Linked DNA regions of Saccharomyces cerevisiae S288C. The protein of the gene in region 1 interacts with the protein of each later gene in a pairwise test. Each region holds a gene or a part of one and is shown on either strand. Other genes may lie near its edges.

Region 1 (7,068 bases):
AACTGGATAAGTTTCAGTTGGGTGAGCAGCTTAGAAAGAGTAGTATTCAGCCAAATGAGCTCTGATATCGGAAACATAAACACCTAATTCAACCAAATTAACTCTTTCGTCAGATTGAGATAATGTAGTGGTTGCTGCGGCGGAGGCACCAGCAGCAATGGCGGCGACACCGGCAGCGATTGAAGTTAATTTGACCATTGTATTTGTTGTTTTTTGGGTTATTGCTTAGTGATGATATAGGCTTAACTGGAAGGAAAAGAACAGAGAAATGTCTCAAACAAAGCTGATCAAGCCGCTGTATTTATATGAAACTTTGAACAACTACATCTGCACACATGGGCTCTTACTGGTCGCCCATCTCACACTCATGCCTTCCACATTCCACTTAGCGACTAAGTCATTATTACTATGGGGACGGGTTGTTCTTGAACGATGCTATACTTCGTATAGGAAGCCGTTTTTTTATGCCCCATCCTTTCATATGTTCCATAGCACAAGAATGTTCTCTACAGGAAAAGTGCCTATAGGGCTGCAGCTGCAGTTTTGGCCAAGAAATAGAACCAAAGCCAAATTTATTTTGGGCCCTCGTTCAAGGGCCATCTCACCCTTGGCACTAAACGGTTAGTAGGAGGGAAATCGGACTTTTCCCAAATTAGAAACAATGAAAAATTAAGTGTGAGCTCTTAGAGTCGCATCTGCAGGAATATGCACACAAAAAGGGGAGCTGTACGTAAATAATCAGACCACACAAACTATTGCCAACCATTTGATACTCACGCTAGATATGATGGGGGTTCTTGTTTGGACAACACAAGTCTCAGAGCCAGCGTAGATATGCTTGTACATAAATGACGACTGGGGCATCAATTGAATCGGGTTACATTGTGCGAGCTATTACATGAAGAGAATATGCCTTTAGGGTAATTTCCAAATGTAGGAAGTCTCGCTAAGTAGGGCGCCCAAATCTGTATAGCGATGTTGTTGAGGCCATATAGTAAAATGACGTGCCAATTACCGAGCTTTTGATGGAGGTAAAATCTAAGATTAATCTTGCGCCTTGAAACCACTAGAAATGAAAGGAATTGGTGAAAAAATAATCGCGCAATAGATGACATGGAACGACAGAAGTCTTGTATTGTGCACGAATCCGCAATATTCAAAGCCGAAGTTCATATACGAATGCGAACTATTTCTTAGGGTAGCTCTCTGTATGGGCCGCCATAAATTAGTACCAAAAGATAGGTTTTTGAAAAGGCTACAATGTGCTTTTTTCCTTCTTGCTTTCGAGTCCGGTGAACAGAATATTACGACGTCCTTGTATTAAGAGCCAGACCTCCTGTTAGCGTCACTATAAGAGTAAGTCTGAAATACGCAACAACTACAGTGCAATGAAAAAGTGCTCAACTCAATGACAATAAACAATTTAACCATGGCAGGTTAAAATATTACTGCGATCAGTAAAAATGGGGATATCACCTTTTGACACATAACATAGCAATAAAGTAACAGATCATTAGTGATCGGACAACCTGAACCAACGATATAATGTCGAAGCCACCACTACCTTTAAGATTAGTAGCGCTGCAGGGGGAGACAATGAGAGAAATTTCCCGCCACATGAACTGAGTCAGGAGTTTTTTTTTTCTTGCTGGAGAATCATTTAATTTCATGGTTAAACTCCTCTATAAGCATCCCATTCTCCCATGCCTGAAAACACTTTTGTCCATTCGATCCTCATGCAGCCCTCGTTAATATGCTAAAATGGCTCATTAAATTGTAGATTGTATCGTTCGAGAAACGTCAGGCATGATAGATGTTGCAATCACAGGACATTGATTATTTAATCCTGCTCTCAACATGTTCAATAAGTTGAAGAGTTGCTGATCTCCCCGTATATCTTATGAACCAAAGCATGGTGGGTGAATGTTATGGTTATCCTTGTTGAAAAATGATTGATAGACTGGATTGAGCGGAAAAACATGGGTCAATATGCTGATCTTGACATTTTTCAAAATCCACGGGGGATCAAATCAACTTCTTATAGCGTATGACCTCTTTTACATTGTTTAATGATGTTAAGATTGCGATATTATAGTCAGTTAAGTTACTCAAACGCACAGATTTAATAGAAAACTGCGTCTTCGTTGCCTAGTCGATCATAATAAATTCGCAGATTATTTCGAATTTGATCTCCTTCGAAATCAAGTTTATTCTCTTCACAACAAAAAATGCTTTTAACTTGAACAAAACTCGTAAACTATTTCCCCACTGTTGCTTCGGGACGACCCAGTTATTCAATATCTTGCAATGCTAATTTTTTTTGGGAGAGCAGTTGCAAATATTGCAAACACATCTAAAGCGTACCCACAATTTATGACTTCCTGGAGCCCAGAACAGCCCAAAAAAAAAAAGATGCGTTCTTTTTATACCAATATATTAGATACGTAAACTCTACTCATATTGCAGGTATGCCCACATCTGGATATTGACTTTGCCAATATTCCCGCACAGCATGGGCTTGAATTTCGGCTGCTTTAAAGAGGCACCACTTTACGGTTGGTTCAACATCAGAATTTTGAGTTGCAGCCTGATTTTCTGGAACACTGATGAACGGCTGTGTATTCGCTGTATCCCACTGTACATCAGGATATTTTCCCTTTATGAGATCCTTGAAAAATTCATAGCACTGGTGTTCACAAAAAAAGTGGTATGGTGTTTTCCATAAGCCAGCCTTGAACAAATATTGATTCATGTTATACGTTATGGTTTTCCATTCTTTCCCAGCTATCGATGGTCTATGAGTTATTACCTCTAGTAGAAGTTTTGTACGGAATGTTTCATTACTTATTGGTCTACTGAATGACCATATCTGAAGGACTACCATAGAGCCACCTAAACATATCCGGATCACCATGGCAGGGGAGAGAACACCAGAAAACCAAATGTTTGTTAAAGTCGCCAAAATCGTCAAGACAAAAAGGAGGAAATTGATCATTATATACTTGGCGCGTACAATTTCGTAAAGCAAATAACTCTGGTATGATGCAAACTCATCCTCTGGAAGGACGATATCAGCTGAGATTAAAGGACTTTCAGGGTTGTCAGGAGATCCTTCCCTCAATGGGATTGCTTTAGGATCGTCCGTGACATGAGTGTTTTTTTTAAATAAGATTGCATGTTTAACAAACGATTTAACTTGCTTTTGCTTACAAGTCAAGTAAACCTTATCCTGATAGCTTAGGAAAAATAGACTTGAATGTGTCGAACATTTCAAACCTCAATTGGTATTTTCCTTTTTTTCAACTGTACGTACATAGCTTTTCGCTTTCTTTAGCGCCCCCAGATGAAAGTATATATCGTAACAAGGATGGGAACATGAAAGGTACTGAAAAAACATCTGTATTTATTAAAAGTAAATCAAAAGCAGACTGGGAAGTTCTGTCGTAGGGATTTTTTTTTTAATGTTATGTGTGTAGGATTATTCTATTTCCTTGAATTTCTCGATCGAGATTTTTCGTACCTGTGTATTTTTGGATATAAGAGTGTTTCTGATCTATTGAGTGAGCAGGTCTCCAGCGGAATATAGAGTAGATTGAATATGGAAGAGGACTACATTAAGGCTTATTGTTAGTTAGTTACTGTTAGGACGCTTCGGCGAGCTGATGTCTGACTTCTCGTTGTATCAAAGAGCTCCCAATACGCCAGCGCATTTAAACTATGATCACGGAATGCTGGATTAGTAGTATAGCAAAAGTAACACTTGTCCACCGCAGACTCCATCACTTAGTCAACACCTTGGGTGTTTTACCGCTGATAATGGCCGTAAAATCGCCAGATATATATCATCATTGTTCTTCGCGAATAATACGTAACACAGTCTCTTTTCGAAATTTAGATGAGGACCATAGGCATGACTTATTTACTGAGATGTCCCTGCGTTAAAACTTTTACTGGCCGATTGCTAACTTTATATTTGTTAATAAAACTATTCACGCCTGTGTCCTAATTGTTGGATAATACCTAAACAATAACGATGTTGTATAGCTAAGAGGACGACCAGACAAAAAGTTATAAACTTTACCCTCGTTGAAAATGGGGCAGCCACCTATGAATCACTTCCCATTACAATGCCGAATAGCAAAATATGTAGTAGAACACGTACACGCATGATAATTACTTCCATGCTGTACTTATTTTTTGGGTGTCTCTTCAGAAAGAATGCTTTATATAACCATGTGTTTGAATTAGCGATCAGCTAATAACAAGTCAGTGTCCAAATAGTTAAAACATTGTGACCCAAATATCACAAATAAGTGGTTGTTTGGCCGAGCGGTCTAAGGCGCCTGATTCAAGAAATATCTTGACCGCAGTGAACTGTGGGAATACTCAGGTATCGTAAGATGCAAGAGTTCGAATCTCTTAGCAACCATTATTTTTTCTTTTTCCTCCTATACTTCATAATCTACGTAGGAATGAAAGTACCAACATTATACCAATGAGGGTGTGTTTCGTGGATGCATATACTCTGAAGATAAAAACAAACTCAAGTCCGCTTCCTACGGTTTGAGTATTTCTTACCACTACATAATAAAGAATATTACGTTAACTGTAAAATCAAGTAGACTTGGAAAATACAACGAGAACACTTTCCTGATTCTGCATCAGCGTTTTCTTATCACCAGCTGTACTTCTACATTAGCTAACTCTCCTTTCTATAAAGGGCGTCTTTCACTTCACTTGTGCCATGTTACAAAGCTCCAAACGCACTTCTAACTGAGTACAATGCACGATCCCACTGACAGACAAAACAGCTTCACAGAATTTGATCATGCCATCGTAAAAACCACGTAGTAAGGAATAAAAAATCCCGAAGTCGATCATACTATGTAGAGATGTACATGAATAGTCTAGGAATCTGGTCTTCCAGCATGTTGCTTTGGTCTGCTTCAAGCGCTATGGAAGCGCTCGCCATGAGATATGCTGTTTCAAGGCAAAATAGCAAAGCTCTTTGTAAAGAAATACAATTCAGAGAAGAAGCTACAGCATTTTGTTTCTGGATGATCCCTGCAGGTTCATACTACTAAGTAAATCTTGAACAGTTCAAATTTCAACAATTCAGAAACCGCTCTTTTTATATATACTCTACCAAACGAGATGAAACAGCATTTTTTTACTCTTATAAGGTACCAATATTTTGACGTATGCTTTCTTTAACGTTCACGATCGGGCTGGGCCATTAAACTTACCTTAGATATTATTTGGAACAGCACCGCAAGTGCTGATGTCCCAGAAATGGGCGCCGGTTCAATTAGGTCGTGAAGTCAGACATATGGAGACTCTCGGACTGAAAGCACTAAGGGATGATAGCTGGCATGCCAATTCCATTTTAAATTTACACATCAAGTTACAGGGTTTGGGAAAATCACGTTCAAAGCCTGAAAATTTGAGGTTGTTCACGGAAATCATTTGGTTATGTCTGTCGGCCTGCTATTTAGAGACATTTTTTATTGCAACAACCTACTCTATGCACTTACACGGAATCGCAGAATAACGCGCGCACAACACAATTGGGAAACGATAGGATTTTGAATAGTGTATTGCTTTGTACCGATTTAAATAATTCTTTCTCGTGTTGAATCCGAGTTGAAGATGAGTATGCTTTGAAGAGGTGAAATATCATCAGTAAAAAAAAATAACGACAACTGCAGGACTCGAACCTGCGCGGGCAAAGCCCAAAAGATTTCTAATCTTTCGCCTTAACCACTCGGCCAAGTTGCCAAAATTGTATGTTATTTGTTGTATCTCAAAATGAGATATGTCAGTATGACAATACGTCACCCTGAACGTTCATAAAACACATATGAAACAACCTTATAACAAAACGAACAACATGAGACAAAACCCGACCTTCCCTAGCTGAACTACCCAAAGTATAAATGCCTGAACAATTAGTTTAGATCCGAGATTCCGCGCTTCCACCACTTAGTATGATTCATATTTTATATAATATATAAGATAAGTAACATTCCGTGAATTAATCTGATAAACTGTTTTGACAACTGGTTACTTCCCTAAGACTGTTTATATTAGGATTGTCAAGACACTCCGGTATTACTCGAGCCCGTAATACAACATTATTTTCAGTGATAAAATATGTAAACCAATTATAAGAAAAAGGATTGCGTTGCATCACAACTGTAAACCATTAATTAAAAAGAGCAATTGCTATTTAGATTTGTTGCTGAGAATTGGCTAAAAAATCTGATAATTGTAGGACTTCTATTATTGCTAGGGGCAATGTGTTGGAATGCAATTCTGTTGGAATAAAAATCCACTATCGTCTATCAACTAATAGTTATATTATCAATATATTATCATATACGGTGTAGAGATGATGGCATAAGGTATGAAAAGCTGTCATCGAAGTTAGAGGAAGCTGAAGTGTAAGGATTGATAATGCAATAGGATAATGAAACATATAAAACGGAATGAGGAATAATCGTAAGATTGGTATATAGAAATATAGACTCCATTATGGGGATTCCTAGACCCTCGAGGAGAACCTTCAAGTATATTCTGTATACCTAATATTATAGCCTTTATCAACAATGGAATCCCAACAATTATCTCAAAATTCCCCCAATTCTCAACATCCGACTGCCATGCAATGTGCTTTTCTGGATCTCACTCATGATCATAATGGCCCTGTAAAAGGCTCGCACTATTATTATTATATCTTCACTATATATTATTTCGGAGGCTGTACCTATCAGTGAAAAAACGCCTCTAAAAATGAAAAAAAAAAAGAATATGAAAGGGGTTCTGAATTGCTAAAATATTTCGTCAAAGCTCAATTAGTATCATGATCAAGTCGTAATTCGAATCAGCATAACAACCTCCAAAACCATATAATAACCTTACACAAGACAAGATATCAATTCAACATGCAAACCCCTTCAGAAAATACCGACGTCAAGTTGGATACTCTCGACGAACCCAGTGCACATTTAATCGAGGAAAATGTGGCTCTTCCAGAGGATACATTCAATTCGTACTGGAGTTATATAC
Region 2 (7,638 bases), on another chromosome or scaffold:
TGAAAAAAATTGTAATGAACTGATGGTTGATGAAAAGATGGATGACGATTCGTCGCCCAGAGATGAAATGAAAGATAAATTAAAGGGAACAAAATCATTGATTATTCGTAAGTCTGAGCTAATGGCTAAAAAGTATGATACTTGGCAATTAAAAGCTATATTCCTGTTTTCTGCATTCATTTGCACTTTCGCTTATGGATTAGATAGCAGCATAAGGGGTACATATATGACCTACGCAATGAACTCGTACTCCGCACATTCTCTCATTTCTACAGTAAGCGTCATAGTTCTAATGATATCTGCTGTTTCACAGGTGATCTTTGGAGGGTTATCAGATATCTTTGGAAGGCTAACGTTGTTTCTTGTATCCATTGTACTTTACATTGTGGGTACAATAATTCAATCTCAAGCATATGATGTCCAGAGGTATGCTGCTGGAGCTGTCTTTTATTATGTGGGACTTGTCGGTGTTATGCTACAGGTTGTTTTGATGTTGTCTGATAATTCTTCATTAAAATGGAGGCTATTTTACACATTGATACCTTCATGGCCCTCGATTATCACTACGTGGGTCTCAGGTAGTGTAGTGGAGGCAGCAAACCCGTTAGAGAACTGGTCGTGGAATATTGCTATGTGGGCGTTCATTTTCCCTCTATGCTGTATCCCATTGATTTTGTGTATGCTCCATATGAGATGGAAAGTAAGAAATGACGTGGAATGGAAAGAATTACAGGATGAAAAATCGTACTATCAAACGCACGGATTAGTACAAATGCTGGTACAGTTGTTCTGGAAGCTAGATGTTGTCGGTGTGTTGTTGTTTACTGCTGGTGTTGGTTGTATTCTTGTACCACTCACTCTTGCTGGTGGCGTCTCTACAAATTGGAGAAATTCAAAGATTATCGGGCCCTTTGTGCTTGGCTTTGTCCTGGTTCCAGGCTTCATATATTGGGAAAGTCGACTTGCTTTGGTTCCTTTCGCTCCATTCAAGCTGCTAAAAGATCGTGGCGTGTGGGCCCCATTGGGAATTATGTTTTTTATCTGCTTTGTATATCAAATGGCTGCTGGGTATCTCTACACCATTCTAGTAGTTGCGGTAGATGAGAGCGCTTCCTCAGCTACAAGAATAATAAACTTATACTCTTTTGTGACTGCTGTTGTTGCTCCATTTCTGGGGCTCATCGTTACGAGATCATCTAGATTGAAGTCGTATATTATTTTTGGTGGCTCACTTTATTTCATTACTATGGGACTATTTTACCGCTACAGGTCAGGTCAAGACGCCGATGGAGGTATAATTGCTGGTATGGTTATTTGGGGTCTCAGTAGTTGTTTATTCGATTATCCTACAATTGTTTCTATTCAGTCGGTAACATCCCATGAGAATATGGCTACTGTCACAGCATTAAACTATACAGTTTTCAGAATAGGTGGAGCAGTTGCAGCTGCCATTTCCGGTGCCATATGGACGCAGTCATTGTACCCTAAATTATTGCACTACATGGGAGACGCTGACCTGGCTACAGCAGCATATGGCTCACCACTAACTTTTATTCTTTCCAATCCCTGGGGTACTCCAGTTAGGTCTGCGATGGTTGAAGCTTACAGACACGTTCAAAAATACGAAGTTATTGTTGCGCTTGTATTTTCAGCGCCTATGTTCCTTCTAACATTCTGCGTAAGAGATCCTCGGTTGACTGAAGATTTTGCCCAAAAGTTACCTGACAGAGAATATGTCCAAACCAAGGAAGATGATCCTATCAATGACTGGATCGCGAAACGTTTTGCAAAGGCCTTAGGCAGGTCATAAGAAAGATTTACAAAACCCCAACAGGATATGTGTTCGAAAAAATGATCTCTGATATGCGCAGTAATTTTTGTATGGTACATAAGATGAAGCAAGATAAGTGATAGTAATATTTGTTACCATGTATATGTTTAATGTGATAACACAAAAGCGTAATATGAGTAATGTTTCAGTAATGTTTCACACATAGAAAACATATAGTGGAAAACGTATTGTAGCAAACCTCTAATCCGGTAGTACTTGAGAAATTATAGCTTCTGTGTACAAAAACAGTACCTATGTAATTCTTACATTTACATAACATATATAAACTTACTACATTATGACATATAAGCTAAATCGTAATTTACTACGTCAACAATATGTCATAGTGTAGTGATATCATTTGCGATTATATCCTACAAAAAAAAAGCACTTATATGACCAAAAATGTATTATCTGGATTTTAAGTTACCGCTTTAATATATGATGTTCTAATGTGAAGCCTGTGTACATATTGATTAGTATGAAAACATTATTGAACTTTCATGTTAATGACACCATGGCAGTATTCTTACCCCAAGTAAAGTGTTTCAGTCTTATTGCTAAAGGGTAGAATATTTTTATATTTAGGTGATTTTAGTGGTTATTTTTCTATAACAAATATTGAAAATAAGTGTTTTTGAATTTAGTGGTTATTGTATGGTGTAAAGTGATAAAACATATGCGAAAAGGAGTATTAATAATAATAAACAAGTAAAATACGTTTTGACTTACTGATATTCGATCAACTACACATAGTATATTTTGGAAAAGGAACATTTGTTCCTACTTTAGGGGCTTCTCATTGCGGGCCGATTGCGCTTCTTTAATGTATGGCCATAGCTCAACGTTCAACGAAGCAAACCACATAGGTTTTTTTAAAGATAAGAGACGATAGAAAAAGCGCCTAAAAAACCATTCGCAGTCAAGTCCATCGTAGAAAAACTCTTCATTATTCCAGACTTTTTTCTCAAACAAATACCTATTCATTTTCTTTGCAATTTCGTCCCATCCATTCGCACCACTTTCTTGCTCATTTATAATAGTTGACAAGAACTGCATCTTGTGTTCCATTTTCACGGATAAAACAATCATCCTCATATTTTGGAAATCTCTCGTCATGATAAAAAACATTACTACCGGAAACAAGAAACGTGATATAAGGTCAGCATTTCCAGACGTGTAGACAATTAAAAAATAATAAAGGAAGAGTGGTAAACACCGCAGGTTGAAAATCCTTTTAAGAATCCAGGTAAGCTTAAATCGGTAAGCTTCTTTGGGGAGCTGAATGTCTTCCAGGTCGAAAGGACTCTCTTCCTTCTCAGTATTAAACAGCTTCCACTCTTTGTCAAATCCTGCAGCATACACTTGCAAGGCCTCTTCGATATAAGGAACGGAATCCTTAAATGACTTAACCTTTGCAGATTCGTCTTTTTTTAAAGAGAAGGGTTCGAGAAGGGTTGTTTTAAACGCTTTTTGGCAGCTCATGGCATTGAAAAAAAAGTACTTGGTATTCCAAGTCTTATTTTCATAGAAGTACGAATTTAGATTTGCTGCAACGACTTCCCAATCATGAGGATCCGAACTTGGTGTGTCTTCAGTAATCTCTTTGCAAAACTGAATGAGTTGTTTCGATAAGGAACGCTTACGAGAAAGTCCACAAATAACAAGGACAAAAAATGGTCCCAGGAACAGGACAAGAAGTGAAACTATAAGTGGGTGAATCCAATTGCTGGAAAGTTTCCACCAGACGCTAAGTGGTAGCCATAACAGCATCCAGATGCGAAACGCTAAAGACTTGTAAATTTCATAACAAAACCAGGTCAATTCGTTTCGGAAAACATCTTGAGGTAGAACGGTCTTTTGGAATTCGAGCTGTTTGAAGGATAACACATCTACGCTTTTCTCATCTTTGACTTCATTCTCTTTCATTTTCGGTAGTGAGATGGCAGTTCGAGGGGTTTTTTATTCGAAATAGTAACTTCTGACTTTTCGCTTTTATACAGCACAGCAGAAAAAAAAAGCCGCCGAGGCGCGCGCGTTCATGCAATGGCTCAGTAACCTCGTGATAGAAAAAGGGAAACAATATTGGGCTATTTTAGGCAAAGAAACTCAGCTATTCGAAAAGGGCATCCATTTCATTTCCGGTTTTCTATCTAGCCAACTCGATAATCGTAATAACGAATTTACAAAACTTTAATGCGGGTGCATCACGGTGTGCCGTAACTTTGGTTTACATTTAAGGTGCGACCAGCAATGTCACTGCTCGTACAGCGGTTACCGCTTGAATGAAATACATATTTTAAGCGTAGATTTCCTGTGACAAAACTGTGTAAACATCTAGTAGAAAATAGACGTAGCTGTCACAAATATTTACACAGGAAAGAGTCCGTCCTACGTATCTGACATGAAGATTCATAGAACCAAGTTACTTACAAATGTGGACAACCTTTCAATACCATTTTTTATCCTTATGCTTGGTGTCACTGTAAAATTGATCAAGGCAAAACCTAGAGGTACGGTGGTGCTCAGATCATGCATGACATCTGGGTAATCACCACTTCTCCCGCTTGCTTTGAGATTCTGTATAAATATTGCAAACAAAAGGGTAGAGCACGGATGGGAGGCCTTATAGTAAAAATTATTCGTTTTAATCATGCGTCAGTGTGAGATTCTATGACAATAGTATGAGAAGATAGGGTGAAGTAAAAGCGTCTGTATGACTATAGAGTACAGTTATATTACAATATATGGAATAGAGCATAGTGGTATGACGGTATTAAGGAACATTTAAGTTAATGACGTCATGGTGGTATTGATACGCAATTGAGTGTGTTTATGTACTATGGTTGAAGGATAGAATATTTTTATGTTTAGGTGATTTTAGTGGTGATTTTTTTGTAATATTGGCATAAGTGTATATAAATTGAGTGGTTAGTATACGGTGAAAAAGAGGTATAACGTATGTATTAAGAGCAGTTATACAATATTTGGGGCCGCCGAATGAGATATAGATATTAAAATGTGGATAATCGTGGGCGTTATGGGTAAATGGCACAGGGTATAGACCGCTGAGGCAAGTGCCGTGCATAATGATGTGGGTGCATTTAGTACTGATTTAGTGAGAGATGGGTCATGGAGTGGAGTAGAATGTGAAAGTAGGGTAAGTTGAGAGTGGTATATACTGTAGCATCCGTGTGCGTATGCCGTACCAGTATACAAGTGCAAGTGAGTGTGGCATGTGGTGTGTGTGGGTAAGTACGTGTGTATTATTTACGATCATTTGTCAACGTTTCAACATGGTGGGTGGGACATGGAGCATTAGGAAGTGACTTGGTACGCCAAAAAGGGCTCCTCTACCTCAGCGGGGTAATAAAATTTATCCACGAAGCGGCTGAGCAACGAACAGAATCCTGGTTCTCCTCGACTAAGCAGACGGTTAAGATACTGTGCACCATGGAAATTGAAAACGAAAGCACGTACCGACTGCTTTATTTTTGCAGGCCGGAAATCAAGCGATGAATGAGACATCCTTCTGTTTTCTATGTTGGGACAGACAGTCGCTTATCTTAGTGAGATTTCTTATTAACTGAATTTTCTTTGCTGCTGCTGGAGATTTGCACCTGCATAGCGCAGATTCTGCTTCTTCTCAATAGAGTAGCTTAATTATTACATTCTTAGATGATGATAAGACGGAAACTGGACAATCTTTTGTTTATATTGATGGATTTCTTGTCAAAAAGCATAACAATCAACATACTATTGTTAATTTCGAAACTTACAAAAATAAAATGAAAGTTTCCGATAGGCGTAAGTTTGAAAAAGCAAACTTTGACGAGTTTGAGTCGGCTCTAAATAACAAAAACGACTTGGTACATTGTCCCTCAATAACTTTATTTGAATCGATCCCCACGGAAGTGCGGTCATTCTACGAAGACGAAAAGTCTGGCCTAATCAAAGTGGTAAAATTCAGAACTGGTGCAATGGATAGGAAAAGGTCTTTTGAAAAAATTGTCGTTTCCGTCATGGTCGGGAAAAATGTACAAAAGTTCCTGACGTTTGTTGAAGACGAACCAGATTTCCAGGGCGGACCAATCCCTTCAAAGTATCTTATTCCCAAGAAAATCAACTTGATGGTCTACACGTTGTTTCAAGTGCATACTTTGAAATTCAATAGAAAGGATTACGATACCCTTTCTCTTTTTTACCTCAACAGAGGATACTATAATGAGTTGAGTTTCCGTGTCCTGGAACGTTGTCACGAAATAGCGAGTGCCAGGCCGAACGACAGCTCTACGATGCGTACTTTCACTGACTTTGTTTCTGGCGCACCTATTGTAAGGAGTCTTCAGAAAAGCACCATAAGGAAATATGGGTACAATTTGGCACCCCACATGTTTTTGTTACTACACGTAGATGAGCTATCGATTTTTTCTGCATACCAAGCAAGTTTACCTGGCGAAAAGAAAGTCGACACAGAGCGGCTGAAGCGTGATCTATGCCCACGTAAACCCACTGAGATAAAGTACTTTTCACAGATATGTAACGATATGATGAACAAAAAGGACCGATTGGGTGATGTTTTGCATGTGTGCTGCCCAAGTTGAGAAGAGATACTAACAAAATGACCGCGGCTCTCAAAAATAATTGACGAGCTTACGGTGATACGCTTACCGTTATCCAGAGCTACAGCGCAACGTATACGTCGACGATACAACAAGAACGGTTCATCGGAGCCTCGACTAAAGACGCTTGACGGACTCACTTCCGAGCGCTGGATTCAATGGTTAGGCCTTGAAAGCGACTACCATTGTTCATTCTCTAGTACTCGGAATGCGGAAGACGTAGTGGCAGGTGAGGCGGCGAGTTCAGATCATGATCAAAAAATTTCAAGAGTAACGCGAAAAAGGCCCCGAGAGCCCAAGAGTACAAACGATATCCTCGTCGCAGGCCAGAAACTCTTTGGCAGCTCCTTTGAATTCAGGGACTTGCATCAGTTGCGCTTATGTCATGAAATATACATGGCAGACACACCCTCTGTGGCAGTACAGGCCCCACCGGGCTATGGTAAGACGGAGTTATTTCATCTCCCCTTGATAGCACTGGCGTCTAAGGGCGACGTGGAATATGTGTCGTTTCTGTTTGTACCGTACACAGTGTTGCTTGCTAATTGCATGATCAGGTTGGGCCGATGCGGTTGCTTGAATGTGGCCCCTGTAAGAAACTTTATTGAAGAAGGTTGCGATGGCGTTACTGATTTATACGTGGGGATCTACGATGATCTTGCTAGCACTAATTTCACAGACAGGATAGCTGCGTGGGAGAATATTGTTGAGTGCACCTTTAGGACCAACAACGTAAAATTGGGTTACCTCATTGTAGATGAGTTGCACAACTTTGAAACGGAGGTCTACCGGCAGTCGCAATTTGGGGGCATAACTAACCTTGATTTTGACGCTTTTGAGAAAGCAATCTTTTTGAGCGGCACAGCCCCTGAGGCTGTTGCTGATGCTGCGTTGCAGCGTATTGGGCTTACGGGACTGGCCAAGAAGTCGATGGACATCAACGAGCTCAAACGGTCGGAAGATCTCAGCAGAGGTCTATCCAGCTATCCAACACGGATGTTTAATCTAATCAAGGAGAAATCCAAGGTGCCTTTAGGGCATGTTCATAAAATTCGGAAGAAAGTGGAATCACAGCCCGAAGAAGCACTGAAGCTTCTTTTAGCCCTCTTTGAAAGTGAACCAGAGTCGAAGGCCATTGTAGTTGCAAGCACAACCAACGAAGTGGAAGAATTGGCCTGCTCTTGG

Evidence for each region. The genes of interacting proteins can lie anywhere in the genome.
Region 2: the proteins of DFP1 (region 1) and COS8 interact in a protein complementation assay, tested with the Saccharomyces cerevisiae proteins (one large-scale study listed by BioGRID).

Annotation. Positions count from the first base shown.
Region 1 is NC_001133.9:176,826-183,893, forward strand, and holds DFP1 (DUP240 family protein), read right to left. Parts: upstream 2,996-7,068; coding exon 2,456-2,995; downstream 1-2,455. Other genes in the region: seripauperin PAU7, read right to left, coding at 31-198; DUP240 family protein UIP3, read left to right, coding at 6,945-7,068.
Region 2 is NC_001140.6:2,523-10,160, reverse strand, and holds COS8 (Cos8p), read right to left. Parts: upstream 3,761-7,638; coding exon 2,615-3,760; downstream 1-2,614. Other genes in the region: ARN2 (siderophore transporter), read left to right, coding at 1-1,810; YHL048C-A (uncharacterized protein), read left to right, coding at 4,364-4,498; YHL049C (uncharacterized protein), read left to right, coding at 5,620-6,435; YHL050C (uncharacterized protein), read left to right, coding at 6,850-7,490.